Linked DNA regions of Ovis aries. The protein of the gene in region 1 interacts with the protein of each later gene in a biochemical or structural test. Links are inferred from orthologs where the notes say so. Each region holds a gene or a part of one and is shown in the gene's direction. Other genes may lie near its edges.

What was found.
Region 2: the proteins of BIRC3 (region 1) and UBE2V1 form a complex in vitro, tested with the Homo sapiens proteins (2 studies listed by BioGRID). The link is inferred for Ovis aries from reciprocal best matches to the Homo sapiens genes BIRC3 and UBE2V1.
Region 3: of the proteins of BIRC3 (region 1) and RIPK1, one has a biochemical effect on the other in vitro, tested with the Homo sapiens proteins (5 studies listed by BioGRID, with this or other methods). The link is inferred for Ovis aries from reciprocal best matches to the Homo sapiens genes BIRC3 and RIPK1.
Region 4: the proteins of BIRC3 (region 1) and RIPK2 form a complex in vitro, tested with the Homo sapiens proteins (2 studies listed by BioGRID, with this or other methods). The link is inferred for Ovis aries from reciprocal best matches to the Homo sapiens genes BIRC3 and RIPK2.

The regions. Positions count from the first base shown.
Region 1 is NC_056068.1:6,089,819-6,098,851, reverse strand, and holds the start of BIRC3 (baculoviral IAP repeat-containing protein 3), read left to right. Parts: upstream 1-3,105; 5' UTR 3,106-3,497; intron 3,498-6,252; 5' UTR 6,253-8,594; coding exon 8,595-9,033. UniProt on the Homo sapiens protein: Multi-functional protein which regulates not only caspases and apoptosis, but also modulates inflammatory signaling and immunity, mitogenic kinase signaling and cell proliferation, as well as cell invasion and metastasis.
Region 2 is NC_056066.1:78,131,888-78,139,385, reverse strand, and holds part of UBE2V1 (ubiquitin-conjugating enzyme E2 variant 1), read left to right. Parts: intron 1-4,983; coding exon 4,984-5,109; intron 5,110-6,309; coding exon 6,310-6,456; 3' UTR 6,457-7,498. UniProt on the Homo sapiens protein: Has no ubiquitin ligase activity on its own. The UBE2V1-UBE2N heterodimer catalyzes the synthesis of non-canonical poly-ubiquitin chains that are linked through Lys-63.
Region 3 is NC_056073.1:49,669,703-49,676,599, reverse strand, and holds the end of RIPK1 (receptor-interacting serine/threonine-protein kinase 1), read left to right. Parts: intron 1-765; coding exon 766-918; intron 919-2,988; coding exon 2,989-3,275; 3' UTR 3,276-3,924; downstream 3,925-6,897. Other genes in the region: BPHL (valacyclovir hydrolase), read left to right, coding at 6,652-6,758. UniProt on the Homo sapiens protein: Serine-threonine kinase which is a key regulator of TNF-mediated apoptosis, necroptosis and inflammatory pathways.
Region 4 is NC_056062.1:86,817,016-86,825,256, reverse strand, and holds part of RIPK2 (receptor-interacting serine/threonine-protein kinase 2), read left to right. Parts: intron 1-2,583; coding exon 2,584-2,739; intron 2,740-7,752; coding exon 7,753-7,910; intron 7,911-8,241.

The DNA.
Region 1 (9,033 bases):
AAAAAAGACAGGCCCACCTCTCACCCATCTTGGATTTTAAAATGATATAATTTTGGCCAAGGGTGTAAAATATTCCTGAATGGTCAGAAGTAATTGGTGTTAATGTTGAGAAAAATGAATGACTTTAATATTTGGGTATCAGTTCTGTTCAGTCGCTCAGTTGTGTCCAACTCTTTGCAACCCCATGGACTGCAGCACACCAGGCTTCCCTGTCCATCACCAACTCCCAGAGCTTGCTCAAACTCATGTCGATCAAGTTGGTGATACCATATATCTGGGTATAGTTATCAGATAAAATACAGATCACCCAGCTAAATTTTAATTCTAGCTAATCAATGATTAATATATTGCATGGTACATAATTATACTAAAAAACTATTTGTTGTTTGTCTCAAATTTAAATGTAACTAGGCTTCCTGTATTGCTAACTCTGGCAGTCCTATTTGGGTAAAATACCTGTGGTTTCCAAGTCACAGAGTTCAACAAAATGAGTTGTCTATTGAAACCTAATTGCATTTTAGGATTAAATATTACTAAATAATTTTGGAGCTATAAAACTGGTACTAAAAATTTTGGAAAAAATTGAAGTAACATTTTTTGGAGGCCAGTCTATTTATGTAGAAAAGATTTTTCAACACATAAACTTTGGGAATTAAAAAAAGGAAGAGAATCTATGCTGAACTCTATAATGTTCTATGGAAATTAAAAAAAGGAAGAGAATCTATGCTGAACTCTATAATATTCTACTAATAAGTAATATTCATGAACACACACTTGAATAAATTGTTCAAATATAAGCTGCAGCCTCCATTAAGATTGCATTTGTAAAAGAATCATTTTTTATGAGTATATTGTTATATCAGCATATGTTTACATTGCTTTGACCAACTGACTTTGAATATAAGTACTGAAAGTAATATAAATTATAATGTAATCAAGGAGAAAATTTTGAGTTACAGCCTATGATCACAGGAAAAAAGTTAAATTTCAATTTATACATGTTTGTTTCAGAAATTTGTGCCAGAGGGATCATAAAGATGTCCATTTTAAACACAAAAATTCTGTGGGGAAGTAGAATGTTCAAGGACAAAAAGCAATGATAGAGTATTTCCAATTATTAAAGATGAACAGATATATTAATAATGAAGGTTATCAAATGGTATTTGTAGTCCACTGAATATATCTGAAAGACTGTTGATCAATCTTATTCTAAGACATCAATGTCTAGATTTAAATCCATTTAGTTGGTCCCATCACTTCATGCGAAATAGACAGGGAAACAGTAGAAACAGTGTCAGACTTTATTTTTTTGGGCTCCAAAATCACTGCAGATGGTGACTGCAGCCATGAAATTAAAAGATGCTTACTCCTTGGAAGAAAAGTTATGAGCAACCTAGATAGCATATTCAAAAGCAGACACATTACTTTGCCGACTAAGGTCCGTCTAGTCAAGGCTATGGTTTTTCCTGTGGTCATGTATGGATGTGAGAGTTGGACTGTGAAGAAGGCTGAGTGCCGAAGAATTGATGCTTTTGAACTGTGGTGTTGGAGCAGACTCTTGAGAGTCCCTTGGACTGCAAGGAGATCCAACCAGTCCATTCTGAAGGAGATCAACCCTGGGATTTCTTTGGAAGGAATGATGCTAAAGCTGAAACTCCAGTATGGTCACCTCATGCGAAGAGTTGACTCATTGGAAAAGACTCTGATGTTGGGAGGGATTGGGGGCAGGAGGAGAGGGACGACAGAGGATGAGATGGCTGGATGGCATCACGGACTCGATGGACATGAGTCTGAATGAACTCCGGGAGATGGTGATGGACAGGGAAGCCTGGGGTGCTGCGATTCATGGGGTCGCAGAGTCAGACACGACTGAGTGACTGAACTTAACTGAACTGAGTAGTTCCTTAGCAACTACAACTTTTGTGTTTTAATGTTAAGTTAAAAATGTGCAGGGAAATATAGTTTTCCAAAACTATTTTGGTGGGTACATGATTATAAATATATATAAAGATCACAAAATTTTTTTCCACCATCTCACAGGAGAGTTGAAAATGGCTTATAAAATTTTCAACTAAGCAGGCTCAAAATGAATCGAAATCTCCACATAAGTAAACTGAATCTTTTTTATATAGTTCCAGCTGGAAATCTGCTATGGACAGCCAAATCAGCTAACACAGAAGATACCCCAGCTCATCCTGACTGTTCTGCATCCCTGTTTCCACAGGAGAGTGAAGTACTAAGTAACATTACAGTTCTGCCTTTAGTGCTTGGTATCTTTTTCTTGATTTACTGGAAGGCAGGAAAATCAGGTGAGCTTTCCCAATCTGTTATCCTGGCATGCACTGTCTTTAGATAAATGTGCTTAAATTGACTCCTTAGGCAGGAAATGTTGAGGAAAATATGTGTAGTGAGACTTGACTTCAGATTTCTATGAGGCTATCATGGCAGACATCTCCCCTGTGAAACTGAAGCCTACAAAGAGGAATTTGTTTTACAGCCAACTCCACCCTAGTTATAAATATAACCAATCAACCAGAAAAAAACAATTTTTTTCCCCACTAAACTAATATGGTAACCTTTTTTTTCAGACTAAAAATAAATTGAAAAGGAGAATCTTGTGATTTTTTTTTTTAACAAAACCCCTACATTTCCACTTATGCTTTACAATTAGAACAAAAAGTAAAAATAAATCAGAAAGCTTGCACAAAGTTTAATATTTTATTACGTGGGGAGATGCACCTTTTCCAGTCAGGCTGACCAATGATCATCTTGCCCTCTCACAGATTATGAAGATTTCCTCTGACCCACGAACAATGAAGTAAAGGTATTTCAGTAAATGCCACGTCGATCCGCCCCGGTTAAGAAACAGTCACGCTTTCTGGGTCATGGAAATCCCCGAGTGGGTCTGCCAGGCCACTGATTAAGGGGAAGTGTGTGTGGTTATTACCGCTGGAGTTCCCCTAAGACTTCAGAGGAAAGCACCAGCTCACAAGCAAACCGCTGGGAGGAGTGCGGGACGCGGGGAGCGAGGAGTGGGTGGGGAAGGGGCGGGGCGGGGTGGGGGTGGGGAAGACGGTTAAAAGGCCGCGGGAGCCTCCGGCCCGCCCCGAACGGCGGGGGCGACGGGTGGCGCCCGCCAGGTCTCGGCAGGCATATTTCTGGCGCGCACGGCGCCGGGCCGCAGGCCGGCGACCAGGACTGCGGTGAGTGAGCGTGCGCGTGCGCGCGACCCCCGGGGACGCTGCGCGGGAGGGGGCCGCCTCTGTGGCTCTTCCCGGGTCTCGCGAGCCGGCGCGGGAACATAGTGCGAGCCGGGCGGCCCTGACTGGCGCGGCCGCGCTCCTTAGGCCGGTCTCCTCAGGCGGGTCCCCGCCTCCGCCTCCGCCGCCCAGACTTGCCCTCCAGCTCTCGGGGCCGCCGGCTCCGGCCCTGCTTCGCCGACACTCGCTTTCCTTCCGCCTTCCTGCCAGGTGTGCAGTTCCTGTTTTCCTTTTTCCGTGAGTCAGTGGACGGGGGGGGGTGGGGGTTTGACAGTTGGTTTAATGGATGGCCGAAAGGTATCACTGCAGGAGGACATGGCGACCCACTCCCGAGTTCTCAGCTGGAGAATCCCTTGGACAGAGGAGCCTGGCGGGCCGCAGCCCATGGGGTCGCACAGAGCCGACTGGACTGAGCGACTAAGCCCAAGAGGTATCACTGGCCTCAGCCGGTGCCAGATGGCTTGGCCATAGTAAGGACTTAGAGTCTTTCATGGAGAAGGCAGTGGCACCCCACTCCAGTACGCTTGTCTGGAAAATCCCATGGATGGAGGAGCCTGGTAGGCTGCAGTCCATGGGATCGCGAAGAGTCGGACGCGACCGAGCGACTCCCTTTCACTTTTCACTTTCATGCATTGGAGAAGGAAATGGCAACCCACTCCAGTGTTCTTGCCTGGGGAGCCCCAGGGACGGGGGAGCCTGGTGGGCTGCCGTCTATGGGGTCGCACAGAGTCGGACACGACTGAAGTGACTTAGCAGCAGCAGAGTCTTTCGTTAATGAACAGATGGAAGAGTGTTCCCAAGTGGTGGCGGAAAGAGATTTTTGGTGTTTTCCTGATAATAGGCCTGGAAATCCTGTAGTGCTCTTAATCTAGTTATTAAAGTGCTGGAGATATTTACCTGATGCTAAAGGAAATGGCACCCTGCTCCAGTATTCTTGCCTGGAGAATCCTGTGGACAGAGGAGCCTGGTGGGCTGCTGTCCATGGGGTCACACAGAGTCGGACACGACTGAAGCGGCTTAGCAAACTAAGAGTAATATTAACTTTGTCATTATTTTTTGCCAACATTAGGTGTTTCTAAGACCTAGTCTACTCAAAGGCTCTCTCAAAAGACTTCATATGTGTCTTTCAGGTTTTTCACAGTCCTAGGGAGCAGTTGCCATATTTATCTCCACTGACAATGAGAAAACTCTGGGCTCAGGGAGGTTTACTTGTCCAACGTCACACCTCTGGTACGGGGACACTGATGAGTATTGGAAACCCAAGATGTCTGACTCCAAAGCCTGTACTAAACCATCACTTAGCAGACTTTGTAGTCATTAATGTAAAATTGATGTCCTTAATACCATGCAAATGAGGGTGCTGCGGTCCTTGAGGGGCTCAGTCAAGTTTGCTGACATTGACTTCTCAACAGAAACTCTTAGTGTCTTCATTGTTTGCCGGATGGGATGGATGTGTGGCTAGGAGGATTGATACAGAGCTGCTGCACAGTTCTGTGAAGGAGACTGCAGACTAGGGGGTGATGATTTAGTTGCTAAGTCCTGTCCAACTCTTGCGACCCCATGGACTGTAACCTGGCAGGGTCTTCTATCCATGGGATTCTCCAGGCAAGAATACTGGAATGGGTTGCCATTTCTTTCTCCAGGGGATCTTCCTGACCCAGGAATGGAACCCGGGTCTCCTGCATTGCAAGCTGATTCTTTACAGACTGAGCTAGAGACAAAAGGCACACTTAACGTCCAGTATCAGAGACTTGGATGTGCTAAGTGTCCAAGAGGAAGACATATCCAATATCCCTGGCATCAGGGAGGTTGCCCACTAGAAGTGAAGAGTGAGAAGAGGCATGATTGGGGATGAGCCAATCTGAGAAGTAACCACTAGAAAGGAAAGAGGAATTCCGAGAGAGAAGCCAAGGAACTAGAACATTTGTTAGAGGAAGTGGGCCCCAGTGGCAGGTGTGAAAAATTCCACTGGTTTTGGGAAAGAAGCCATTGGTGTTACTCATATTGAGAGTGGTTTTCCCCAGGCATAGAAACCACTACCAAAAAAGGAAGAAGGGGGAGGGATAAATTAGGAAGATAGGATTGACATATACACACTACTCTCTCTGTATATATAAAATCAACAAGGGCCTCCTGTATAGCACAGGAAACTACTCATTTGTAATAAACTATAAAGGAAAAGAATCTCTGTATCAGAGTGCCAAATGGGAGAGCATGAACCCTCCCAAAAGGGTGCAGCCATGGCTTAACACTAGCTTATTGTTGCCATCCAGAAATATATGCCTGGCACAGTGAGATCTTTGGATATTTTTATGAGAGCATTGGGATCTAGAATGTCATGGGAAATCTTTTACTTTTTTTTTTGGCCCCTCCACGTAACATGGAGGATCTTAATTCCCTGTCCAGGGACTGAACCCTTGCCCCATTTAGTGGAAGTGTGGAGTCTTGACCACTGGGGAAGTCTGGAAATCTCTTACTTACAAAAAGTGTTGGTAATTAACTAAAACATTGAAAAAATACAGTGATATTTTTCCAGGAAAAATCTTACTTGGAAGGCTGGTGGAATTCAAATGAGGCATACAGATTAATTAATAGCACTGTTTCAGTGTTAATTTCCTGGTTTCTGTAGTTGTACTGTGGTTTTATAAGATGCTAATTTGGAGGAAGTTGAGTGCAGGATATGTGAAAACTCTTTATGTTTACGAATTTTCTCTCTTTATAAGTTAATTTCAAAGTAAAAAGTTAATGAAATGCTGGAGTCTAATTCTGTGCAAGCCAGCCATAATACCTCTGCTGGCCACCAATCTGAGGCCTCTGGTTTTCGTCTGGGATTTTTTGGCCTCTACAGTGGCTAGCACACCAACTTGTATATGGTAGACATTCAGTAAATACTATTACTGTGCTTTGGAAAAAATGTTTACAAAGTGATCATGGTGTAACATCTATGAATTATTTGACTTTTAAAACTCTTTTTTTTTTTTTTTTTAAACAGGTTTTACAAAAGAGAGGAACTGTTCTTCTAGATTTTTTTTTTCAGTTTTTTCTATAAATCAAAACATCTGAAAATGGAGGCCTAAAACTCTTAAAAGGGACTTAGTCTGATCTGAGGGAGGTAGTTTTGTGCATGAATAAACAAAGTAGATAACTGGACTTTTTATATACAAAGAATGTTAATTTAAAAAATATAATCTAGTTATAAGAGGTATAATTACACAGTAATAATAGGTTTGATTCTGAATTTGACTTGTGGATATAAAGAAATGATTGTAGTCGAGACAAATTGTTGAAGTACTTTTTTTCAGAGTTGGCCAGGCAGTTTCGTACTGGCTGCTGTATAGAATAGAAAAACTTGTACCTGTGTTTGGTAAAGATTTAAAAATGAATGACAGTTATCTAGAACAAAGAATTAATATTCAGCCTTCTGCTAAGTTAGAGAAATATGCATATAAAACCTTTGGCATGTTAAAAGATTTCTTCAGTGACAAAGAAATGTCAAAACCAAAACTTTTTGATAGGTACAACAAAATAAGAGTAAGTATGAAAGATAAACGTGATGATTGGTAAATAAATTAACCATTTCTAAGCCTACTGATATTTTGAAAGTCAAAAATTTAGTTTGTTCAAATGGGTTGTTATCTCTGAGAATAATTAGAATGAGAGTGATGGGTGGATGGTTACTTTTGGTAAATGAACAAACTTCAGAAAGAAACACAGAGATAGTGGTAACACCACACAGAGACAGTAATAACACCAAGAGTTTTATATTTTAAAATAACACAATATTACACATTTTATAACAATGTGTAAAATTATTGACTAATGAAAGGAATACTGAAGTTAAACAGAATAATTCACCTTTGAGGGAAATAATCACTGCTATTTCTGATGCCACCTGGAAAGAAAGCATTGAAGTCTGCAGTAAAAAGCCTCAATATATATGAGACCCAGGAAACATGCTTGCAAATCACTTCTAGAAGAACCATGATGACTTGTTTACTGGTTATTACTGATACTACTGATGTAGTCCTGCCTACTGGTAGCTAGTTTTAATTGAGAAATTCTGAATTTTGAGGTCTCTGTTGTTCAAAAGAAGTGGAGTGTGACAAAGTAAATTTATTATGTTTTGTCAAGATAAATTCTGGTTCAGGGTATGCTATCTGTGAAATAGTTTCTGACCAAAACCAAAATTTTTTAATCCATCTTTTTTTTGTTTGTTTGTTTAAAATTTATTATCCATCTTAGCTTGGAGACTCAGCACTCTGACTTTTGACTGTTTTTAAAAATAAGTTCATAATCAGGAGATTTGATGTTGGCTTTCAACAGCATGCAGCTGAGCCTAAGAGATCAAATGAGCAAATATACTCATCTCTGATAGTTTATTTGAAATGGAATGTTTAATTTGCTAAGATCTAGAGGCATCACTATGACTTAGCAGTCAGGTACCTATCTATGGAAGTAATTAAATCTTGAAACCAGGTCTTAAGATCTGTGAGCCAGTTCTGTTACTACTTAAGTTCTTCATCTGGAAGAAAATTTTGGATTGTTTTCTTCTCCCTATTAAAATGGTTGTAGGAAGAAAAATTAATTAATTTGAGCAAGATTTAGGATATACTATATTTCACTGAATATAAGATGTCATCATTTGTAAGGCATGCCATTATTTTATGTACCTCCTAGAAATAAAAATCCTGTTAATTAAAATGTGATATGCCATTGATTGTAAGATACCTCTCCATAATAGAGATATTGAAATATGCGCCTTAGAATCAGTGAAATATAATAATCCATTCTTAGGTAGGTTTTAAACTTTCTTTCCCTTGGCTCCAAAATTTCACAATTTAAAAAAAGAGTAAGTATAGTTTGAATATGTTTGTGTATATGGGACACTTATGCAGCATAGCTTTCTGCCAGAACAAACTATGTGAGACATTTTATCTTCAGGCTGACTTGAATGTCACTGAAGCATACTAGTGGAGAGGGTGACCTTCCTGTGGAGACACCTGCCACAAAATGGCATCTTGATGACCTAATGCATTGTACATTTTTATGAAGGCTTTAATTTTCATCACAAGGTACTGTGTAGCATCATGTTTACATTGTATATATCAAGAGTATGCAGAGGTGCAAGTTGTACATAATTGTCCCTTAAAGTGTATCAGTATAGGATTTAGAATCTTGCCATGCTGTAATCCTAAATTCATAGAAGAAAAAAAAAGAAAGATTTCCTGTTCTAAGTGTTCAGCCTGGTACTAAAATGAATAAAAATCAAAAGTCATGCACAAAACTACCTCCCCAGAGAAAGACTAGTCCCTTTTCCTCCCCATCCATTTCATTATGAACATAGTAGAAAATAGTGTATTCTTATCAAATTTGATGAAGAGTGCCAACATGTTTGAACTGAAGTATGACTTTTCATGTGAGCTCTACCGAATGTCAACATATTCAGCTTTCCCTGCCGGTGTTCCTGTCTCAGAAAGGAGTCTTGCTCGTGCTGGTTTTTATTACACTGGTGTGAATGACAAGGTCAAATGCTTCTGTTGTGGACTGATGCTGGATAACTGGAAACAAGGAGACAATCCTATTGAGAAGCATAAAAAGTTGTATCCTAGCTGTAGCTTTGTTCAGAATCTAAATTCAATTAACGTTTCAGGAGCCTCTTCTCAGCCTACTTTTCCTTCTTCATTAACAAATTCCACGCATTCACTACTTCCCAGTTTGGAAAACAGTGGCTACTTCAGTGGCTCTTATTCAAGCTTTCCATCAAATCTTTTAA
Region 2 (7,498 bases), on another chromosome or scaffold:
GAGACTTATTCCTAATACCTTTTTGTACTCTTTGAGTGTGCTTTAATCATATGAGTATGTTAGCTATTTGAAAATAGATGTGTATATATATTTTTTCTTTTTGTAAAGCAAATTTTCCAAACCTAAAAGCAAAGCTTCCTGTCCAAGTGCCCTTGCAAAATTCGGCAAACATGTCTGTCCACAGCATTCCATATAGAGGATCTGTGCTTTGGCCGTGGGGTGGTAATGGCAGCCGGGTTCTGGAGCAGAGTTTCTCAGCCTTGGCACTGCTGGCATCTTGGGCTGGGTGGCTGTTAGCTTTGGAGCTGTCCTGTCACTAGGCAGGTGTTGAGCAGCACCCCCGGGGCTGCAGCAGTTGTAAAGGCCTCCAGGTGCAGCCTGCTTCCCGCCACTTCGGGGGCGGGACAGGGACGGGGGTCGCCCTGGCTGAACAGCACTGTCACACCTCTGGAGTTCTCCATGATGATGCTTTTATGGCTGGGTTAGAGCCTAGCTGTGTGTTTATACACATACTTATCTAAAAGTATTCTGTGCACACTTAGGAACAAACAGAATTACAGGAGTGTGTGAAGTGATCCATTCCCCGCTTCATTACGCACTCCACAGAATAAACACTGGTCACGTGGCGTGTGGTGTGTTTCTCCTGGCATTTACTGTGGGTACGCAAACCTAAATACATAACCATTTTAATAAAAATGAGACCTTGCTGTGCTTAATGTTTTGCAGCTTTTTTTTTTTTTTTACCTTAACAGACGGTGGACATCTTTCCATATCAGTATACCTGTCTCCTTCTTAAAAGCTTTCGGTTACATGTCTGGTACATGAGTGTATTCTCATAAAGGTTTTCAGACAATACAGATTAAGCAGTTCACTTTGTACCATTTAATTCTTTGTGTCAGTCAGGAAAAGAGAAACCGTGCTAAGTATTATTTCAACAGAGATAATTTAATATAGAAAGTTGATCAAATAGGTGTTGGGCTGAAAAAAAGCCTACTAGGGGAATACACGGAGAAGGCAATGGCAGCCCACTCCAGTATTCTTGCCTAGAAAATCCATGGGCGGAGGAGCCTGGTGGGCTGCAGTCCATGGGGTCGCTAGGAGTTGGACACCACTGAGCGACTTCACTTTCACTTTTCACTTTCATGCATTGGAGAAGGAAATGGCAACCCACTCCAGTGTTCTTGCCTGGAGAATCCCAGGGACGGGGAACCTGGTGGGCCGCCATCTGTGGGGTCGCACAGGGTCGGACACAACTGAAGCGACTTAGCAGCAGCAGCAGGGGAACACAGATAACACTAAAAAATAACTACGGCCTGGGTCTGGAAGGCTGAGTCAGGGGACGCTAGGACCACTGAAACCTATCACTTGGAAGACAGGCACCCTCTGCTGTTGGTCCCTGTGGGGCCCACAGAGCTGGTTGGAGGAGCCCCGAAAGGCCAGGGGCTTAGCCCAGAGACAGCTCTCACTGCCAAGACGGGGCCTCGGGCCAGAGTGACCCTGATGGGAACAGAAAGCAAAGGGGAAGGAAAGAGGGCCTCCTTTTGCCTTTTTATTTTTTATTGCGATTGTGCAGTCGGCTCAGCAACTTAAGTCTTCAGCTGCACGGTATTCAGGTGGCACTGTGATTGCCTTCAGCTGCGCGGCATTCAGGTGGCACTGTGATTGAAGTCAAGAAACGAACAATTAGCGCTGCCGCCCGAGGGCCTGTGGCTCGTGTAGATGCCCTGACTGACAGGAACAGAGTTTTTGTGCAGAGGAAGTCTGTCTTGCCTGGTCCGGAGTGGGCCGGGCAGGTGCTGGGTAGTGAGCTCCAAGCCCACCGTCCCTGCTCAGCTCTGGATCCTGGCGCTGGCATCTGTGAGCTGCATGTTTCCTCTGTCAGCCGGCTTCCTGTCGGGCGCCAGGGGAGGATGCAGCAGAGAGCCTGAGAGGCAGAGAGGAAGCCTTGTTCCTTCCTGCTTGCCTCTGCTCTGTCTGCGCCACTCTGGTGATTGCCCTTCATCCTGGCCTCAGCACTGGGTCCCGGCCTCCAGCTTTTGGGGGTTCCTCCAACTTTTGGGGGCACCCCCAGCATCAGCCTCACAGCAGCCCCTCCTCAGAGACCTGGGTTCAGCTCTGGAACCCTCTTCCTCAGAGCCTCTGGATCTGATCAGCTACAGCTTTCTTCCTTTGTCCCCCAGCCTTCATGGGGGCAAAAGGCAATAATCCTAAACTAACACAAAGGTAGTATCTGCTCCCTGCGGTCATTACCTCTGTGTTTGTTCAGGTTCCTCTTTCAAAACTTTCTTCAGTCCAGTAATAGGTTTAACCGATTTCCTATATTAAATTCTTTGTTAAAATACCTAGTGTGGTGTCTTTTTTCCCAAACTTTTCCCTGATTTTCAAATCCCCTAGCAGAAATCTGGGGTTAATCATCCCCAGATTGACCGTGAGCAGTGGTTTGACGTGTCTTCTCCCACGCCTCCTGTACATTGCTGCCTGTCCGTGGCCTCTGTCATGGGGGTCCTCTCGGGCTGCACCCCGTCTCCCGTTGAGAGGCCCAGCCTTTATTCTGACAGCACGTGCCCCTTGCACGCTGAGCGCACCTGCCATGTAACTAGCATCCGAGCTGAGCAGTGGTTGACCAGTGCTCCTGACGTCATCTTCTTTATGCTAATTGAGATTTTGTGCTGTGCTTTGCATATTTTTGCAGCCAGTACCTTTTTCACTTTCTCATGTCTCATATGTCTTAAAAACACTTTTAAAAGATTGAAGTTTTGCCATTTCCATCTATGTGGATGGACCCAGGGGGGGTTATGCTTAGTGAAATAAGTTAGAGGCAAATACTGTATGTTACCACTTTTACCTGGAATCTAAAAAATAAATGAATGTAGAACAGAAATAGACAGATACAGAGAACAGACTGGTGTTACCAGTAGGGGGAGAGAAGGGAGGAGGGGCAAAGAGGGATGGGGGATTGAGAGAGACACTACCATGAATGAAAATAAATAGCTACAAGAGTATATTGATTAGCACAGGGGATGTAGCCAATAGTTTATAATAACTTTAAATGGAGTATCATCTGCAAAAATACTGAGTCACTGTTGTATACCAGGAACTAATACTGTCAACTGTATTGCAATATAAATAGATAAATAAGCAAACATTCATTGTATACTACTTCCAGATTTACAGAAAAGTTGCAATGTTCATTCATTCAATAAACAGATGAGTACCAGTTCGGTTGAGGCCCCTGCCCGCCTTGTTCCGAGATTAGTGAGGGGTGTCTGGCGGGTGACTGGGCGTCAGTCTTCAAATGAGGGGTCCCGAGAACTCTGAGGGGAAGATGCATGGGAGCTGAGCTGCGAGGCTCAGAGCAGCAGCTGGTATGAGCACCCCAAGGAGAGGACTCAGTGTGTCTGAAGAGTGTGACGAGGAGGCCGGAGGGGCGGGATGAGGAAGGAGAAGCAACGGAGAGGAGGGCAGGGCCGCATGGGGTCCAGTCCAGGAACCGGGCCCCCCTTTCTCGGGTCTCCAGGAAGCCACTGGAGGGGTGAGGCCACAGGCACAGTTTCCAGGGCTGTCTGGGGAGCAGGTGCTAGGGGCGCGAGAGAAGGCAGAGGCCTGGGGTCATCTGGAGGAGGCGCACAGTAGAGGAAGGTTGGGTGAGTGTGCATCCCTTCTGATGCCTGGGATGAGGAGTGAGGGAAAAGGGAGTCATGGCTGGCTGCCAGTTTGCTCTAACTGCCGGATGGTGCTCCTGCTTACCAGGGAAGAAGGCAGGTGGGGGGAAATCCTGAGTTGAGCTTTTGTTACAGCTTGGGGTCCCTGTGAAGTGGATGTGGTATGGGACTATTATGCATTCTGGATCTTAAAATATATGTTCCAGTTTTTAAGCTAGGGACAGGCCACTATTTTAGACGGAATGTTTTCAAGCCTTTTAATCATCCTTCTTAATGTGCTCCCCCCAAAGGCCGCTAGATGTCACTGTTCACACGGCCGTTTCTTGTGCAGCACGGGGTGCAGAGGGCACAGGGCGCGGGTGAGGGCCCCGGAGGAGGCCGGTCTCCCTGCAAAGGGGGCCAGTCTGACCGGGAGGTGTCAGCCGCGGTTTGGTGTGGTCTTCAGATACGCAGATGATGATAACGCAGCTTCACGTGAGAAAACCGTGCACAGCCTTCTGATTAACATGCTGCTTGAACTGGGTCTCGAAGGCTATGAGGTGGTCCGAGTGGGGGTTCAGCACTTTAGGCAGAAGGAACCGCCTGGAGAAGGCGGCGCACTCCACTGCTCACCGGGCAGAAGTGACAAGGGAGCCATCCCCGGGCATGAGGCGGGACTCGGTGTTTCTTAGTGGAGGCTCGGTTGGCGCTCGGAGAAGGACCGTTTCTCCTGGGCAGGTCTGGCGTCCTCGGCCCCCTCCCCCCACACACCTCCTCGATGCCGGGTGGTCCTAAAGGCAGCAGGGACGGAGTGCCTGTGGCTGAGATCCCTTCCCAGAGCGCGGCCCCGGTGGTGAGGAGTGGAAGGCAACCCTGTGTCTGTGCCCACCCTGATCTTGTGCTTGAGTTCAAAGTCCTCTAGAGTTGCTTGTTCTTTACTCTGTACATGATGGTATCTAGTGCCTTGGCTGATGATCCCAGCATGAGTAGACATCAGTGTGACTTCCCAGAATGAAGGATGCCTCTTACACGTCATTTTCCAGAGTGTAGACAAATGAACAGAAAAGCCAAGTCCATCTGATTGGGCCTAATGATGCCACCCTAAGACTTCAGTGACACTGGCTTAAATTTCCTGGCTTCTTTATATTCCCCCAAAGCCAGGATGCATAGGCGCTGGTGCAGGGACTGATTACGACTAACTTAGCAAACAGCGAGTAGACTCTGAATGGTGGCAGCAGACACACCAGCTCTGCATGGGGAATAAATGGGGTTTCAGAAGTTGTGCAGTTTTTTAATTCTTTGTAATTGCCTGACATGGCTATGCCTTCTATTTTTTTTCCAGACAATTTATGAAAACCGAATATACAGCCTTAAAATAGAATGTGGACCTAAATACCCAGAAGCACCCCCCTTTGTAAGATTTGTAACAAAAATTAATATGAATGGAGTTAATAGTTCTAATGGAGTGGTAAGTTGTTTCTGCTGCCCCTCCTTGTCCCCTGGGGGTCCCCCAGATTCTTTGTGCTCGAATGTCAGGGGCACTTGGGGCCTGATTGCATTTGTTCCTTGGTTACTGGATGATGACATGTACCGCAGGACACACACGTGCTGTTTTGGAGGGAGGGCCTGTTTCCCAGTTGTGTTTCAGCACAACTTGTATGGCGTTGGCTCTGGGCTGTTATCACTCAGCCTGTGCCGGTCACTTTGAGAGGAGCGCTCCTTCAGCCTTCCTGCTACACCCCCAAGAGGTAGAGGCAAGGAAATGGAGGCAGAGAGGGAAAAGACCGCCCCAACGCCACGCTTCTCCCCACGGGCCTTATTTCTGCACCATGGACATATAATACTTTCTCCTTGTAATGGCCTTGCTTTCTTATTTTTGCCACTGTTTTCACTGCCGTGAATGGAGACCAGTCTCATCTGCCGTAAGCAGGTGCTGGTGGTGACACCACAGTAAACGCTGTAAAAGCAGAGCAGGGGCAGCCGACGGCCCCGTGCCGCGCGCCAAAGGCGCTCGAGCCTCTGAGGCCCACCTGATGTCCTAAACCCAGGAGAAGTTCCTGCTTGGAGGCGTTTCTCCAGGGGGGCACTGCACTGACTTGAGGGGGGTGGCTCGGACAGGCTCTGGTCTGCTGTTGCCTCACTCTCCCTACTGCCCTGAGCGGTGGCCACCACCTGGGTGCAGAGTGGGCAGGACAGGCCCTGAACATCACCTGCCACCTGGGCACAGTGGGGAGGAGAGGCCCTGAGCATCGCTCGCCACCTGGGCACAGAGTGGGTAGCACAGGCCCTGAGCATCGCCCGCCACCTGGGCACAGAGTGGGGAGGACAGGCCCTGGGCGGTGGCCGCAGCTCGCCCAGCAGGCGGGGCCGTCGTTTCACAGCCAGCTGAGCCTCACCAGGCGTTGGTGCCTCATCTGTAAAGGCGGCTTTTACTTGCCCTTAATTCCCTCCTTCCAGGCCATGAGGGTTCCCAAACAAGGGCAAAGCAGACCAGCGGGAGGGAGGGAACCCCGTGGGCATTCCGCGTGTCAGTCCTGCTGGGTGACCAGCATGTTCCACCTGAAAAATGCTTCTCACTCACTTTTCTGCTGTAGCTTAGCTCCAGCACACAGCTTTCCTTTTGTTTGAGAGCCTGACAGTAATTTGTTTTATCTTTGCCTTTCTATAGGTGGACCCAAGAGCCATATCAGTGCTAGCAAAATGGCAGAATTCGTATAGCATCAAAGTTGTCCTGCAAGAGCTTCGGCGCCTAATGATGTCTAAAGAAAATATGAAACTTCCTCAGCCGCCTGAAGGACAGTGTTACAGCAATTAATCAAAAAGAAAAACCACAGGTCCTCCCCTGCCCCCATTCGATTTAAGCAGTCTTCATTTTCCACAGTAGTAAATTTTCTAGATTCGTCTTGTAGACCTCAAAGTACTGGAAAGAAAGCTCCCATTCAAAGGCAGTTTATCTTAAGATACTGTAAATGATACTAATTTTTTGTCCATTTGAAATATATAAGTTGTGCTATAACAAATCATCCTGTCAAGTGTAACCACTGTCCACATAGTTGAACTTCTGGGATCAAGAAAGTGATATTTAAATTGATTCCCATCCTAACCGGTGGGGCACGTCTAACTCAACTGTGAAAAGACACATCACACAGCCACCTTGCTGCTGATTCCACGGCCTGGGGTCTCTGCCTTCCCCCCTCCCCACTCCCTGCAACAGCCCTCCAGCTAGGCGTGGCTTGTTAGAGTAGGCGTGAAGGTTTCAGGTCACAGCCTGGGGGACACTGCTGGCGTGTGGGCTGCTCTGTCCGCATCCCTGGTCTCTCTCTAAGTCTTAAGTGACGCCCCTCTTCCAAGCCATCAATCCTCCTCCCCCCCCCCCCCACCCTCCACTGCCGCCCTTGGCCGAGGCATAGATTGTAACCCCTCTGCTCCCCTCTGAAATTGGCCTTTGGTGAGGAATTCAGGGCTTTCCCCGTATCTTCTCCCCCCACCTAAATCGAGGGGTGCTGCTTTTTCCTTCCTCCTCCTCAAGTCCCTTTCTGCACCACCAACACCCAACACTTCCCATGACGCTTCCTTGCTTTGGCCGGAAGCCATCAGGTAAGGTTGGAAAGAGTCTCTGACCTCCCCTCATTTAGTCTTGGAACCACAATTTACTCTCCACCAGCCTGGGAAACGAATATTGGGTTCTCAGCCTTGCCACCCTCTGCTGTCATCGTCAGCTGATGCGTTTCTTTAGCTCAGGTTTCGATAAGGTGAAAAGAACAGTCACCAGGGTTACTCAGGCCTGCCAGCTCGCGGCCTCCTTGGTGGTTAAACTTGGAGGAAGGCCACTTGGAAGCACACACGACCCCTCGGAA
Region 3 (6,897 bases), on another chromosome or scaffold:
ACCTCATATGAGTAGAGTTATACGGCATTTGTGCTGTTGTGACGGGCTTACTTCACTGGAGAAGGAAATGGCAGCCCGCTCCAGTACTCTTGCCTGGAAATCCCATGGATGGAAGAGCCTGATTGGCTACAGTCCACGTGGTCGCACAGAGTCGGACATGACCGAGCGAGTTCCCTTTACTTCACTGGAGACAGTGTCCTCAAGGGTCATGCATGCTAGGTCATGGGCCAGAACTCCCTTATTGTGAGGCTAAAGAGAGTGCATCACCGTTGTGTGGCCCGTCCAGAATGGACCGCATTTTGTTTACCTGTTCATCTGCTGACAGACACTTGGGTAGGTTCCACTTTTTGGCTGTTAGGAACAATGCTACAAGCGTGCGTGTATAGATATCGGATTAAGACCCTGCTCTCAGTTCTTTGGGGCATATACAGGTAGAGCTCCTGCATGGTATGGCAGGTGGTTTTTACTTTTTGAGGAACCACCACCGGTTACCACAGGGGCTGCATCTGTTTATATTCCCACTAGCCGCCCACAGAGGTTCGCTTCCCCACATCCTCGCTGACACGGGTTGTTTTCTGTATTTTTGATAGTTTCCAGCCTAATGGATGTGAGATGATTCAGCCAACTTTTAAAGAAGAAAATTTCAAGTGGTGGCGTAGGATGAATTATTTAACTTAAGCAGTCCTGCCCCTTTACCAGGCTGTCCTTTTTTCTCTTCCTTGCAGTCTAGATATACTACTTATCTCTGTGTTTCTTTCTAATTAGATGAGTCTGTGAAATATACCATACACAACAGTTCTGGCATTCAGATCGGCGACAGCAATTACATGGAGATTGGTGGAATGAGTTCATCAGTACTCGACAGCATGTACATGAACTTGAAAGAAGAGCCGGCTTCTAAGTACCAAGCCATCTTTGGTAAGCTGCCCTTGAAGGGCTCATCCTACAGCAACCTTGAACTTTCTCACCTGATTATTTCTCTGATGACTCTCCCTGAAGAGGCCCTATTGCTCCTCATGTAATTTCCGTGGACGTGCTTTGTAACTTATTTATGTGTGCTGAGGCCATAATTAGAATATCTAATTCATGGGTTTGCTATGAAAGTGAAATTAGTCAACACAAACAAAGGGCTTATACACTGTCTGGCACATGGTAAGATAGAAAAGTGTTAAACACATCATCATCGTCAATATGGCCACCCGGACCCAGGAGCCCATCAGGTCCTCGTCAGAAGGATTCCGTAAAGGACAGAAGACTATGCCCTCAGCTGCACTTGCATAATAAAAATTAGAGGGCTTTCTCTTATGGGATTCCACTATACAGCCTCATAACATTAATCCCAAAACACAACCTGGGGGAAACAGTGCGATTTAAGAACCCAGCTTTCTAATCCACCCCAGGACTGGCATTCTCTTTTTTTAATCAAGGGCCTGAGAGCAAGCGTTTCTGGCTCCGCTGGCCCTGCCGTCTCTGTTGCAGCCGCTCAGCTGACACTGCCTCCATGTGGGCTTCCCTGGTCGCTCAGATGGTACAGAATCCTCCCACAGTGGGAGACGTGGGCTGGAGCCCTGGGGTGGGGAGATCCCCTGGACGACCACTCCAGTCTTCTTCCCTGGAGAATCCCCATGGACAGGGGAGCCTGGTGGGCTGCAGTCCTGGGGCCACAGAGTCGGATGCGACTGAGCAGAGCACGTGGCGCAGCTGACCCCCAGCACGCCAGCAGCCCCAGGCAGTAGGTGCACGGATGGGTGTGGCCACATTCTAATAGAACTTTGTGTGGCTGAGAGGTTAAAGCGTCTGCCTGCAATGCGGGAGACCTGGGTTTGATCCCTGGATCGGGAAGATCCCCTGGAGAAGGAGATGGCAACCCACTCCAATATTCTTGCCTGGAGAATCTCATGGGCGGAGGAGTCTGGACAGAGCCAGGCTACAGTCCACCGGGTCCCAAAGAGTCGGACATGACTGAGCGACTTCACTTTCACTTTCTTTCACTTTACAAAACGAGCAGCGGGCCACGTGTGGCTCACAGGCCATAGGTGGCCAAAGTGAAAGTGAAGTCGCTCAGTCGTGTGAGACTCTGCGACCCCATGGACTGTAGCCTACCAGGCTCCTCCGTCCATGGGATTTTCCAGGCAAGAATACTGGAGTGGTTGCCCCATCTAACCCTCTCAAAGCCAGTCTTTAATTCACTAGAGCAGAGGTTCCTAAGGTCTGGGCTGACAGGGTGCCTTTGAGAACCTGCTGGAGCCCAGGGCCCCTCTCCTGGTGAAGCATTGGCAGACTCTGGCCGGGAGGCTGACATCTGGTGATGGTCAGAGCTGCACTGTGGGAGCCGAGGAAAGATGGGCGTTCTGCCGGGGGGGACGAGGTGTTTCTATTATTCCGCTTACTGAACATCACGGAATATGGCTTGTTTGTGGTGATTTTATACTTCTCTTTGCTTCATTTTATTATTTTTACGAAGGCCTGAGAGGAAGGAACCAGTAGGGAGAGAGAGGTTACGGCTCTAGGAGAAAGGAGGACTGAGTGGGGCAGGGGAGGGATGAGCCCAGAAATGCCGCACCGGTGAAAAGACAGCGCAGCCAGAGTTCCCGCCGGTGGCCTCCGTGTCCGGGACCAAGTGAGAGGAACACGCACGGCTGGCCGACGGTTTCCTGAGTTGAGTGACCTTAACTCTGGCCAGATGGAAGCAGAACAAGGCCCAAAAGGAACAAGAATGGTGTTTTCCCCCTTGACGTCAGGAAGGTGTAAACAGGGGCTGTGGTCAGCTGGTCCGGAACAGCCTAGCGGCCAAGGGGGCAGCTCCCAGGAGGAAGCCGGTCCTCGCGTGGGCTGGTAGACAGGCGAGGAGCGTCCGGGGAGCCGCAGCCAGACCATGGGGGAGCTACCTCTTTTACTGACTCCTGGGACTCTGTACTTTATGCCGGTGTTTGAAGCCAGAGTGTTCACGTGGCCACAGCTCAATGCCTTCTCTTTTCTGTTCGGCAGATACTACTACTAGTCTGACTGACAAACACCTGGACCCGGTCAGGGAGAATCTGGGAAGACACTGGAAGAACTGCGCCCGTAAGCTGGGCTTCTCTGAATCTCAGATCGATGAAATCGACCACGACTACGAGCGAGATGGACTGAAAGAAAAGGTTTACCAGATGCTCCAAAAGTGGCTGATGCGGGAAGGCAGCAAGGGGGCCACCGTGGGGAAGCTGGCCTTTGCGCTGTACCTGTGCTCACGGATAGACCTGGTCAACTGCTTGATCCGCGTCAGCCAGAACTGAGCCCACAGGCGCTCCTGCGGCAGGGGCCGCCTTCCCCCCGGCGAAAGCCTGCTGCCTGCGGAGACTCGGACTTCTCTTCTCCCGGATACAGGGGGTGCTGCGTCTGTGTCAAAGTCACCTCCTACCTTTCACAGCTGGAGGATGGAAAAGGGAATCGCCAGCAAACCACCCACTGCGCCGGACGCAGGACCACCTATTTGTGGCCAAGGCCCAACCCAACAAGAAGCCTAATTGGGCTTCGAAAAGGAGAGAAGAGAGAGTTGAGAAAGATCATTTTTTTCTTTCATATGATCCCATAATCTTCATGCTATTCATTCTGGTTTCTGGGAGTTTTGATTGAGCAAGGAAGAAAAAGAAAAATTTGGAGTCTATAACCTAAATCAGCTTTCTAATTTTACACTGCCTTCTCCACATAAGCACCTGTTATAACCAAAGTGAAAAATAAAAGTTCTCATTCAGTCGGATAGCGGAAAACTGGAGGGGGAGATGGTCCCCAGCTGCAGGAGGGGGCGGGGTGATTCCTTTCCCAGATGCATCCCTTGTGACCACTGCTCTCTAAATTCCAAACAGGTTAACTAATCAGTGTCAGAGACAGCAGACAATATTTTAATGGACTAATTAAAATAAAATTTTGTACCTCAAATGGAAACCACTGAAATTATGTGTTTGTATAAACGAAACAGTGTGAGATTCTCCATGGTGACCCCCAGCTACTGGCAGGAGAGATCGGGGAGCTAGGGAGAAAAGAGCTTTCCTGACATTGCATTTTGACTTTCAAGATGAAACCCACGGGCCTGAGAGTAAGCACTGCAGTCTCGCACACCCAGCTCAGGGGCCTTTCCTTCAGCCCCCACGGTCTAACTACTGGACGAAGAGGGCCAAGTTTACATCTGAGGAGTTTCGATATTAGGCCCAAACGCCACAAAAACACTCGTCTTGGGCAGGAATCAACGAAGTGGGACGACACAGACTACAATACGAGAAACAAGGCAACCTGTTCTTGGCTCTGAGAAAGGTATGAAGACCCTGAGGTGGATACTCCTAAGTGAGACCCACTCCCAGACCGCAGACCCTGCTCAGCAGAGTCCCCACTTGTCGCTGTTGCGATAATTGCTGTGGGTCCAGACGATGAAGTTAAATCTTCAGCAACACGAAAAGGAGTTATTTCTCACAACACATTTTAAATAGTTTAAAAAGCTTTTCTAGTTACAGTAATCATGTAAATAGGTCTGTATACGGTCAAGGTGTTAGAAGCATCTGATTACAAAGACATCACTGAAGGACCAGTTCTATGGTATAATCCAGACGCAGGCCTCTGAAATCAAGCAGGCACAAGTTACACTCTGGCCGTGCACCTGGGGCCTGCTTCCTGACCTTTCCCGGCCTCAGTTGCCTCATCTATAAATAGGGTGCTAGGACATAAGGTAGGTGTGAGGATTAAAATAAGATGATGCATCTCATTTTAGGTGCCTGGCGCAAAAAAGTTATTTAAGATGTTTTTTGATGTAGACCATGTTTGAAGTCTTTATTGAATTTGTTACAATATTGCTTCTGTTTTTATGTTTTGGTGTAGAGGCATGTGGGATCCTATCTCTGCAATCACGGGTTGAACCCACACCCCTTTGCGTTGGAAGCCACAATCTTAACCACTGGACTACCAGGGAAGTCCCTAAAAATAGTATTTTTAGAATTAGTCTTTATTGGAGTCTAGTTGATTTATGCTTCATTAGTTTCAGGAGTACAGCAAAGTGACTGTTAAACATATATCCACTCTTTTTTATATTCTTTTATAGATTCTTTAGGTCATTATAGACTGTTGAGTTCCCTGTGTTATAAGTAGGTTTTTATTAGTTGACACCAGTAGCCTAAGACCTCAGCACTACCATTTTTGCTGACCAGTAGGATAACTGGTATTAAAATTGTACAATTATTTTTAACCCCTCATCATCTCTGACAAGAAATCCCAATCAACATTTCATAAAAAAAAATAAGGAAATGTTGACCCCACTTCAGATTCTGAAAGTCAAACAACAGTAGCTGGAACATTACATATTTCTCTTTCCTTCTGTGTAGGAAACTGATGTGACAGCTTTATGTTGAAAAGACATATATAGTATATAGTATAGTATTATAGTATATAATATATATATACTTTTATATAGTATTTAAATCAAACCTCCCTTTACTGCCAAGAAACTCCCACTGGTCAGGGAGGACACTGCTGGTAATACAACTTCTCATGGCTGTAACACCAGGAAGCACTGTGCATAGAGGATTGTTACAATGAAAGGGTCTCCAGGAGAAGTAATATAAGATGCAAGGAAGCTGCTGGAATCTCCAAATCAAGACAAGGCTAAACAGCAGCCACCGATGTGCGGTTGTTTTCTGTTAAGGGAGAGAGCAGCCACAATCAAAGGGTATTGTTTTTCATTTTCCCTGTGGAACCTTCAGCTGCAAATACTGTTTATACTCTCTGAAGACTGAACTGGTCGTAAGAAGCACACACACTCAACAGTGGTGAAATACACGTAAAATTTGCCATCTTAACCGTCTTTAAGTGTACAGCCCTAAACACATTCACACTGTTTCTGCCACGTTCCTGCAAAACTGAGGCTCTGCCCCCACTGGACACTAACCCTGCCTCCGGCCCAGCCCGACACCCACCTGCTTCCGAACACCTGGGCCGCACGGGCCTCACTGATCTGGACTCACACGCGGCTCCATTTACGACCAAGCCTGCGGTGCTCGCCGCTCCCCCGCCCCGGGGGCGGCCAGGGACCCCACGCGGACACAGCCCCCATCCTCCGCACCCGGCGCCCCCCTCTGCTCCCGCCACAGCGCCGAGAAGCGGGAGCCCCGGCCTGTCTGCGGGATTCATCGGAGGCTCCCTGCGGCTTAGCTCTCGAGACCCGGGCCCCCGCCCGCACCGCTCTCCAGCCGCCGCTGGCCCGCCCTGATCTCCGGGATCCCCGAGAGCAGGGGCCCTCACGGGTGTGGGCCGGTGTAAGAACGCACACAGCGAACCCCAGTCCCCTCCAGCTGTCAGGCTGGCGGCCCCGAGCCCACCCCTCCGCGAGGGCGAGACGCCGGCCCCCGTTAGGCTAGAGCTGACACTCAGGGGAGACGCTCTGTGCCGGTGCCCCGGGAACCGCGCACACAGGTGGGCGAGGGATCGCCTGGAAACCCCGCGCCCCAGCTCAGAGCCCAGACCGCCCCGCGCATGCGTGCTCGGGGCGGAAGGGGGCGAACTCGGGGCGGAAGGGGGCGAACTCGGGGCGGCCGATGGCCGGGCGCATGCGTGCTGGCGGCGGTGCGCGCTCACGGGCTCCGGGAGACGCGGCGCATGCGCCCTCCCCGGCCGTCATTTGCACCCACCATGGCGGCAACGCTGGGCGGTCGGGCCGCGCGGCGGCTGAGGCTCCTGCTCTCAGCGCTGAAGCCCGGGATCCAAGTCCCCCGGGCCGGACCCGCGGCCGCGTTCGGGTAATGGCGCCGCTCCCCTCCAGGGGCCCCCATAGCCTCGTCCGCGCGCTCGGGGCGGCGGGAAGGGGGCAGGGGCCAGGGGCCAGCGACCGGGCCGGGGCCGCGAGTGGGCCTTGCCCGTCAAGCCGTGACCCGGGCG
Region 4 (8,241 bases), on another chromosome or scaffold:
AGACAACTCTACACATGGGCATCACCGGATGGTCAATATCAAAAAAAAGATTATGTTCTTTGTGGCCAAGGGTGGAGAAGCTCTATACAGTCAGCCAAACAAGACCTGGAGCTGACTGTGGCACAGATCACGAGCTCCTTATTGCAAGATTCAGACTTAAATTGAAGAAAGTAGGGAAAACCACTAGGCCATTCAGATATAACCTAAATCAAATCCATTATGTTTATACCGTGGAGGTGATAAACAGATTCAAGGGATTAGGTCTGGTAGACAGAGTGCCTGAAGAACTATAAACAGAGGTTCGTAACATTGTACAGGAGGCAATAACAAAGCCATCTCCAAAAGGAGATGCCGGAAGGCAAAGTGGTTGTCCAAGGAGGCTTTACAAATAGCTGAGGAAGAAGAGAAATGAAAGGCAAGGAAGAAAGGGAAAGATACACCCAACTGAATGTAGAGTTCCAGAGAATAGCAAGGAGAGATAAGAAGGCCTTCTTAAATGAACAATAGAATGGGAAAGACTAGAAATCTCTTCAAGAAAATTGGAGATGTCAAGGGAAACATTTCATGCAAGGACGGCACAATAAAGGACAGAAATGGCAAGGAGCTACCAGAAGCAGAAGAGATTAAGAAGAGGTGGCCAGAGTATACAGAACTACACAAAAAAGATATTAAAGACCTGGATAACCATGATGGTGTGGTCACTCACCTAGAGCCAGACTTGGAGTATGAAATCAAGTGGGCCTTAAGAAGCGTTACTGTGAACAAACCTAGTGGAGGTGATGGAATACCAGCTGAGCTATTTAGAATCCTAAAAGATGATGCTGTTAAAGTGCTGCACTCAATATATCAGCAAATTTGGAAAATGCATAGTGTCTGCAGGACTGGAAAACATCAGTTTTCATTCCAGTGTCAAAGACGGGCAATGCCAAAGAATGTTCAAACTACCATACAGTTGTGCTCATTTCACATGCTAGCAAGGATATGCTCAAAATCCTTCAAGGTTTTTGCAAACTGCTACGTTTTAGCAGTATGTGAACCAAGAGCTTATAAGTGTACAAGCTGTATTTAGTAAAGGAAGAAGAACCAGAGATCAAATTACCAACATTCATTGGATCATGCAGAAAGCAAGGGAATTCCAGAAAAACATCTCTGTTTCATTGACTATGCTAAAGCCTTTCAATGTGTGGATCACAACAAACTGGAAAATTCTTAAAGAGGATGGGAGTCATCAGACCACCTTACCTGTTTCCTGAGAAACCTGTATGTGGGCCAAGAGGCAATATTTGGAACCAATCATGGAAAAACTGACTGGTTCCAAATTGGGAAAGGAGTACAACAACAAAGCTGTATAGTGTCACCCTGCTTATTTAACTTCTATGCAGAGTACATCATGTGAAGTGCTGAGCTGGATGAAGCACAAGCTGGAATCAAGATTGCTGGGAGAAAAATCAACAACCTCAGACGTGTGGATGATATCACCCTAATGGCAGAAAGTGAAGAGGAACTAAAGAGCCTCTTGATGAGAGTTGAAAAGGTGAGTGAAAAAGCTAGCTTGGAACTCAGTATTGTAAAAACTAAGATCATGGCATCTGGTCCAATCACTTCATAGCAAATACAAGGGAAAAAAGTAAAAGCAGTGATGGATTTTATTTTCTTGGACTCCAAAACTCACTGTGGACTGTAACTGCAACCATGAAATTGAAAGACACTTACTCCTTGAAAGGAAGGCTATGACAAACTTACCGTATTAAAAGGCAGAGACATCACTTTGCTACAAAGGTCCGTGTAATCAAAGCTATGGTTTTTCCAGTAGTCACATAGGGATGTGAGAGTTGGGCTATAAGAACGGTGGGCGCCGAAGAATTGATGCTTTCCAACTGTGGTGCTGGAGAAGACTCTTGAGAGTCCCTCAGACAGCAAGAAGATCAATTCAGTAAATCCTAAAAGAAATCAACCCTGAGTACTCATTGGAAGGACCAGTGCTGAAGCTGAAGCTCAAATACTTTGACCATCTGATGGGAAGAGCCAACTCATAGGCAAAGACCCTGATGCCGGGAAAGATTGAAGGCAAAAGAAGGGGGTGGCAGAAGATGAGATGATTAGATAGTATCAACAACTCAGTGGCCATGAATTTGAACGCCAACTCCAGGAGATAATAGAAAACAGAGGCAACTGGCATGCTGCAGTCCATGGGCTCACAAGTAGTGGGACATGACTTAGCAACTGAACAACAACCTGGAATGAGAAGACATGTCGAGTATAAATATATGTGTCTGGGTTTTACAGATAAAAATAAGCTATCTCAACTGGAGAGAGACCCGATACCATGTAGGACATTGCCAGTATATACTAAAAGGAAATATTAGTACTGTAAAGTCATTATTTTCTCTATAAGGAAAATAAGATCCAAGGATATTAAAGAATGTCAAATAGATACTATATAATAAATTAAGTATATTTTGCCCTATAACTTAGTTATACTAGATATTTAGTTTATACTATTCCTCATGGAATATTTCATTTTCAAAGTGGAAATAAATTTGGCCATTGATTTTGGTTTTATTTATTTTCATATATATGAAGAAAATCGAATATCCTGAGGTTCCTTGGCCATTGAGATTTCGTATTCTGCATGAGATTGCTCTAGGTGTAAACTACCTGCACAATATGAATCCTCCTCTACTTCACCATGACCTGAAGACTCAAAACATCTTACTGGACAATGAATTTCATGTTAAGGTAATTACTGTTTTTCAAAAAAGCTTATCTGCATCCTTGTGTTTAATAGTTTTAAAGACTTTTAGTTACTTTTTGTACCTTGCCAATTTAATATCTCTGCCTTTTCTATGGCCCCTAATTCAGTGCCACTTCTTCCTGCTGCAATGGGTTAGTTATTCCTAGACTACGGATATTCATAAAACTACGGTTCAGATACAGAGTCATTATATTCTTAATTTAAATTGTTAAGTATACCTTTATTTGCTTTTTATTTTGAAATTATTAGAGATTCTTAGGTGGTTGCAAAGTAAAGAAGTCTCATGTACCCTTAACCCAGTTTCTGCCAGTGGTTACATCACATATAATTATAGTACCATTTCAAAGCCAGGAATTTGACATTGGTACAGTACACATGTGTAGTTTGTAGTTCTGTTTCACTTTATGTGGTGTAAATTTCTGTGACTATTACAGCAGTCAAGATATAGCACTAGTCTATCACAACAAAGATACCACTCACACTATCCCTTTATAGGCATGTTCACCTTCCCTCCATCATCCCTAACCGCTGTCACCCAGTAATCTGCTTTTCTTTTCTATAATTTTGTTGTTTTGACAATGGAATCATACAGGGTATGATATTTTGAGATCAGCTTTGTTTATTTAGCGTAAGGCCTTTGAGATCCATTGGAGTCTTTGCTTGTGTTGAGTTGTTTTCTTGTTCATTGGTGAATAATATTCCATGGTGTGGGTGTACCAGAGTTGTTTAACCATTCACTTATTGAGAGAGATTTGGTATTTTTAGCCTTTGGCAGTTAAAATAAAGCTCCATTGAATAGTCCTATACAACTTTTTGAACAAACATAAGTTTTTATTCCTCTGAGATAAATGCCCAAGAGTTTTAACTGCATGGTCATATGGTAAAGTATGTTTAGGTTTTTAAGTAGCTGCCTATTTTCTGCAGTGGCTGCACCATTATACATTTCACCAGCAAGGTATGAAAGACACAGCTTTTCTGCACCCTCACCAGCATTTGGTTTTATCACAGTTTTTATTCTGGCATTCTAACCATTACAGTGCTCAAATCAGAGCTACGCAACATGGTGCTAAAAACCTCCCTTCAGGTCAAGTTCAGGCCTTTTATTAATTAGAACTTTTGGAGAATAAGCATTCATTTTGTTTGGCATACTCCTAAAAGAACTGTTAGCCCATTTTTCTCCTTTTTTTTCATACAAGTGTTACAAAAGTCCTTCTTTGACTGCTTTCCTAAGTGTCCTTGTCACCATGTCCAACTTTATACTGCTTACCACACAACAGAGCAAGTAAATCAACAGATGAGGTGTTGGGGCAAGGGATAGCTACCTTATTTGGAAAGCCAGTAGATCAAGAAAATGGTGGATTAGTGTCCCAAAGAACCACCACACCCAAGCTAGAACAGGCTTTTGCTTTTATACTAAAATGCGAGAGGGTGTGGATGGTGGTGGCAAGTTTCTTGGGACCTTTTGTGTTTGCCTCTCTCCTATGGGTCAGGTCATGATGTTCATACAGACCGTCAACAAATACTATTTTCTGTTCTGCACCGTGGAGGTATTTGCTAGTATTCTAACTAAACCTGAAATATATGTAAAATGAACTGAGACTTGTACTATATAAATTTTTCAACTTCCTTGGACCTTATTTCCTTCATCTCAGTCCAGAAACCATTCCTGATAGAGAAGACCCAAGCAAAGTAATAGGTGATGACGATCCCTAATTTCTCTTTTTCATTGATGAGTAGGGTATCCATGGTATTTATTTGACATGAATAGAATTTAAAATAGTTTGGCTTTGTGTGTTTTTTTTTAATTTTTGTTACTTTTAGCACATACAAAACTGTGATCTTTCTAATACAGTTCTTATAAATTAGTGACACTCTTTTATATGTATCCTGTGTGTCTCTACTTTTTGTTTTATAAATGTCCCTTAAAAGTAAGAGTTTCAGTGACTCATGAATAATTAGGTTATCCTATCTACCTGTCTTCTTGAAAGGGCCATTTAAATGAAATACAAAAATTCTCTTGAAGTACTTGATGAGATTAAATGGAACCTCACACCTTGTTAGTTTTTTGGTTTTTTTTTTTTAAGTAAATTTTCTCACTATAATGATAATCAGAAACATATTAATAGTATCTAAAATAAAAATCTTTACCACTAGTTAAGATCAATCAAGACTCTTCTACTTTAAAAAGAACATGTTCAACTTGTTGGTCTGCTGGTCAGCATCTATTAGTACACCTTAAATGCAAATGAACCCATGACAGGCTTGTGTGAAGGAAGCATTTATATGCACCATGTCCGGTTTCTCTCCTGTTGTCAGTCCTGTGTGGAAACCAGAATGCTTGGAGGTTCTTCCTCATAGCTTCTTACTGATGATAACTTCATAGTTTTAAAGAGACAGACAGTATTATGTAAATGAAAATAACTATTCTGGTAGGGTGGTAAGATTAGTGATGATTTTTATGAGCAAAGTGTTTTAATTTCCTCTGATTTAAAAAATTTTTTTTAATTGAAGTATAGTTGATTTACAGTATTATATTTTAGTTATACAGCAAAGTGATTCAATTTTATATATTTTTCAGATTATTTGCCTTTATAGGTTATTATAAGATACTGAATATAGTTTTCTGTGCTATGTGATAAATTCTTGTTGTGTTATCATCTGTTTTGAACTAAAAAGATCCTTTACCTTTAAAATGTATGTTAAGATCTTGTGTAGAAATGAAAAGCTCCTATTCTCTGTCTTCATTGTTGAATGACAAATATTTCAGGATCCTCAAGAAACCATAGAACTTGTATCCCTCTCATATTCTTCACTTTTTCTCTTCTTTGGAAGATCCAGATTTAATGAATCATGTCTTTTGTATATGATGTTTGTGATGGAGAAGGGGAAGAAATGTAGTTCCATGTGAAAACCAAACTAAATTGACTGATAAAGGGAATTCTGATTAATTCTTCTAGATAAGGTTTCAAAACACAAATGTGAAGTAAAAGGAGCACATAAACAAACTAAGAATGCATTTTCTGCGCGCTCTATTCGCAGCAGTGCTTAGCCCAGTAGTCTGCAGTTTATGGTTCAGGTATAAGAGCCTATTGCTGTTCACTCACTAAGTTGTGTTGGACTCTCTGCGACCCCATGGACTGCAGCACGCCAGGCTCCTCTGTCCTCCACTAACTGCCAGAGTTTGCTCAAATTCATGGCCATTGAGTAGGCGATGCTGTCTAATTTCCTTCTCCTTTGGCCTTCAGTCTTTCCCAGCATCAGAGTCTTTTCCAGTGAGTCACCTCTTCCCATCAGGTGGTCCAAGTATTTAAGCTTCAGCTTCAGTATCAGTCTTTCCAGTGAATATTGAGGGTTGAGTTCTTTTAGGATTGATTGATTTGACTTCCTTGCAATCCAAGGGACTCTCAAGTGTCTTCTCCAGCACCACAATTTGAAAACATTAATTCTTTGGCACTCAGCCTTCTTTGCCTTCTCATAGTAATGTTTATTATCCTAGCCAGTGTTGTAACTGGAGCACTGTTTTTGCTTTTAGAGGATAAGTGAGAGGAATAAGAGTTTGTAGTAGCAATTAAGAGTAACTGGGATACAGTTGCCCAGAGTCTTAATACTACCTAAAAGTTTAGATTAAAGACCTTCAAACTGCATTCTGTGTTGTTGGTGTTGTATGAATAAGAGTAAGCTTTAGAGGTTTATTCCTGTGTATAAAACATTAATAATACTAACATGTGGTTCACCCATTATGTGTCAAATACGGTTCTGAGTGGGGCTTCCCTGGTAGCTCAGTGGTAAAGAATCTGCCTCTAATGCAGAAGACTTGGGTTCAATCCCTGGGTTGGGAAGATCCCCTGGAGAAGGAAATGGTAACCCACTGCAGTATTCTTGCTGGGAAGTCCCCTGGACAGAGGAGCCTGGCAGGGTGCAGTCCATGGGATTGTAAAAGAGTTGGACAACTTAGTGACTGAATAACATCTTGCACTGCCTTTAGAAATCAGTCCAGTTTAGCTCTTCATGTCGTGGCACCATTTTTTCTCTTGGTCTTTTCTAATTTTTTTTCTTAAGTTTACCCTTTCATTATGGTAATATATGAAAGATTTGTATAGTCCTCCATCCCTTTTTGGAGTGGGGCTATAATTTTTTAATCTCAAATACATCTAAACACTAAAGAAATTATTTCTTCTGTTAAAGCTTGTAAGTATTTTAAGAGTTAAACGATTGAAACACAAAAGGTATGGTGGATGGAGCTCATTCCACTCTGTCAGCTCCTAAATGGCACAGTGTAAGGTCTAAGTAATTTAAACTAAATGTCTTCAAAGCTTTCCTTATACTTTTTTGTTCATTAAATATTGTTTCTGTTCTTATATTTTTGTCTCCATTTTTAAAAATATTAGAACATTTTAGATAGCTACAAAATATTGTGTAGTATCTGCACAAAATTTTCAAGTGAAGTAAACTATAAAGGACATGTCAAAAGTACAGAATGTCTGTCGCTGACAATTCTTTAGGTACCACTTGGCATGGACATGAATATGTTATATTGCTAACTACACTATTGTCAACAGATATTCTTTTTGTGGTAAGCAAAAATCATATTATAATGAGTTATACTTTATGGAATTTTGCTTATTTCAAAATATAAAAGTACTATTTTAAGCACATATAAAGAAGAATATATACACAGTGATGGTCATATTAGATATGAGTAGTTTAGCAGTTTTGTGAGGTATAGGTAAATTTTGAAAGCACATGATGTAAACCTACTTATCACAAAAAGTAAAGTGGATGTACTCATTCCATTCTTTTATTCTAAACGCAAAAAGTATTCCTGTTTAATTTTTCAAATCTTAGTTTCTTTTAAAACTTGTGATATTATGCTGAACCCTCAGTTTGTGTTGCTTATATGTGTATATATACCATTTATTCTGGTCTCATGTCTAAACACAGTAAATATAAAGAAAGGCAAACAATTCCTGGATTTAAATTACTCTTTTCCCTTCCAGATTGCAGATTTCGGTTTATCAAAATGGCGTATGATGTCCCTTTCACAATCACGAAGTAGTAAGTCTGCACCAGAAGGAGGGACGATTGTCTATATGCCACCTGAAAACTATGAACCCGGACAGAAAGCGAGGGCTTCTGTCAAGCATGATATATATAGGTACAGTATGTTACTTTTCCTCAGAGTTCACTTTGCCTAAAGTGAAGCAAAGTCACGAAGTCGTGTCTGACTGTTTGCGACCCCATGGACTGTAGCCCACCAGGCTCCTCTGTGCATGGGATTTTCCAGGCAAGAGTACTGGAGTGGGTTGCCATTTCCTTCTCCACAAGATTAATCAATCAGAGTTTTACAGCTACATTTTTTTTTTTTTTGAAGCTACAGTTTAAAAGTATGATTCTTAGGCTTCTCTCATAGGTGTGGTGAAAATAAATTAGAGGCAGTGGTTAATAGTCTTCAAATTAAAAATACCTTGCTTTAAGGAACTCCCTGG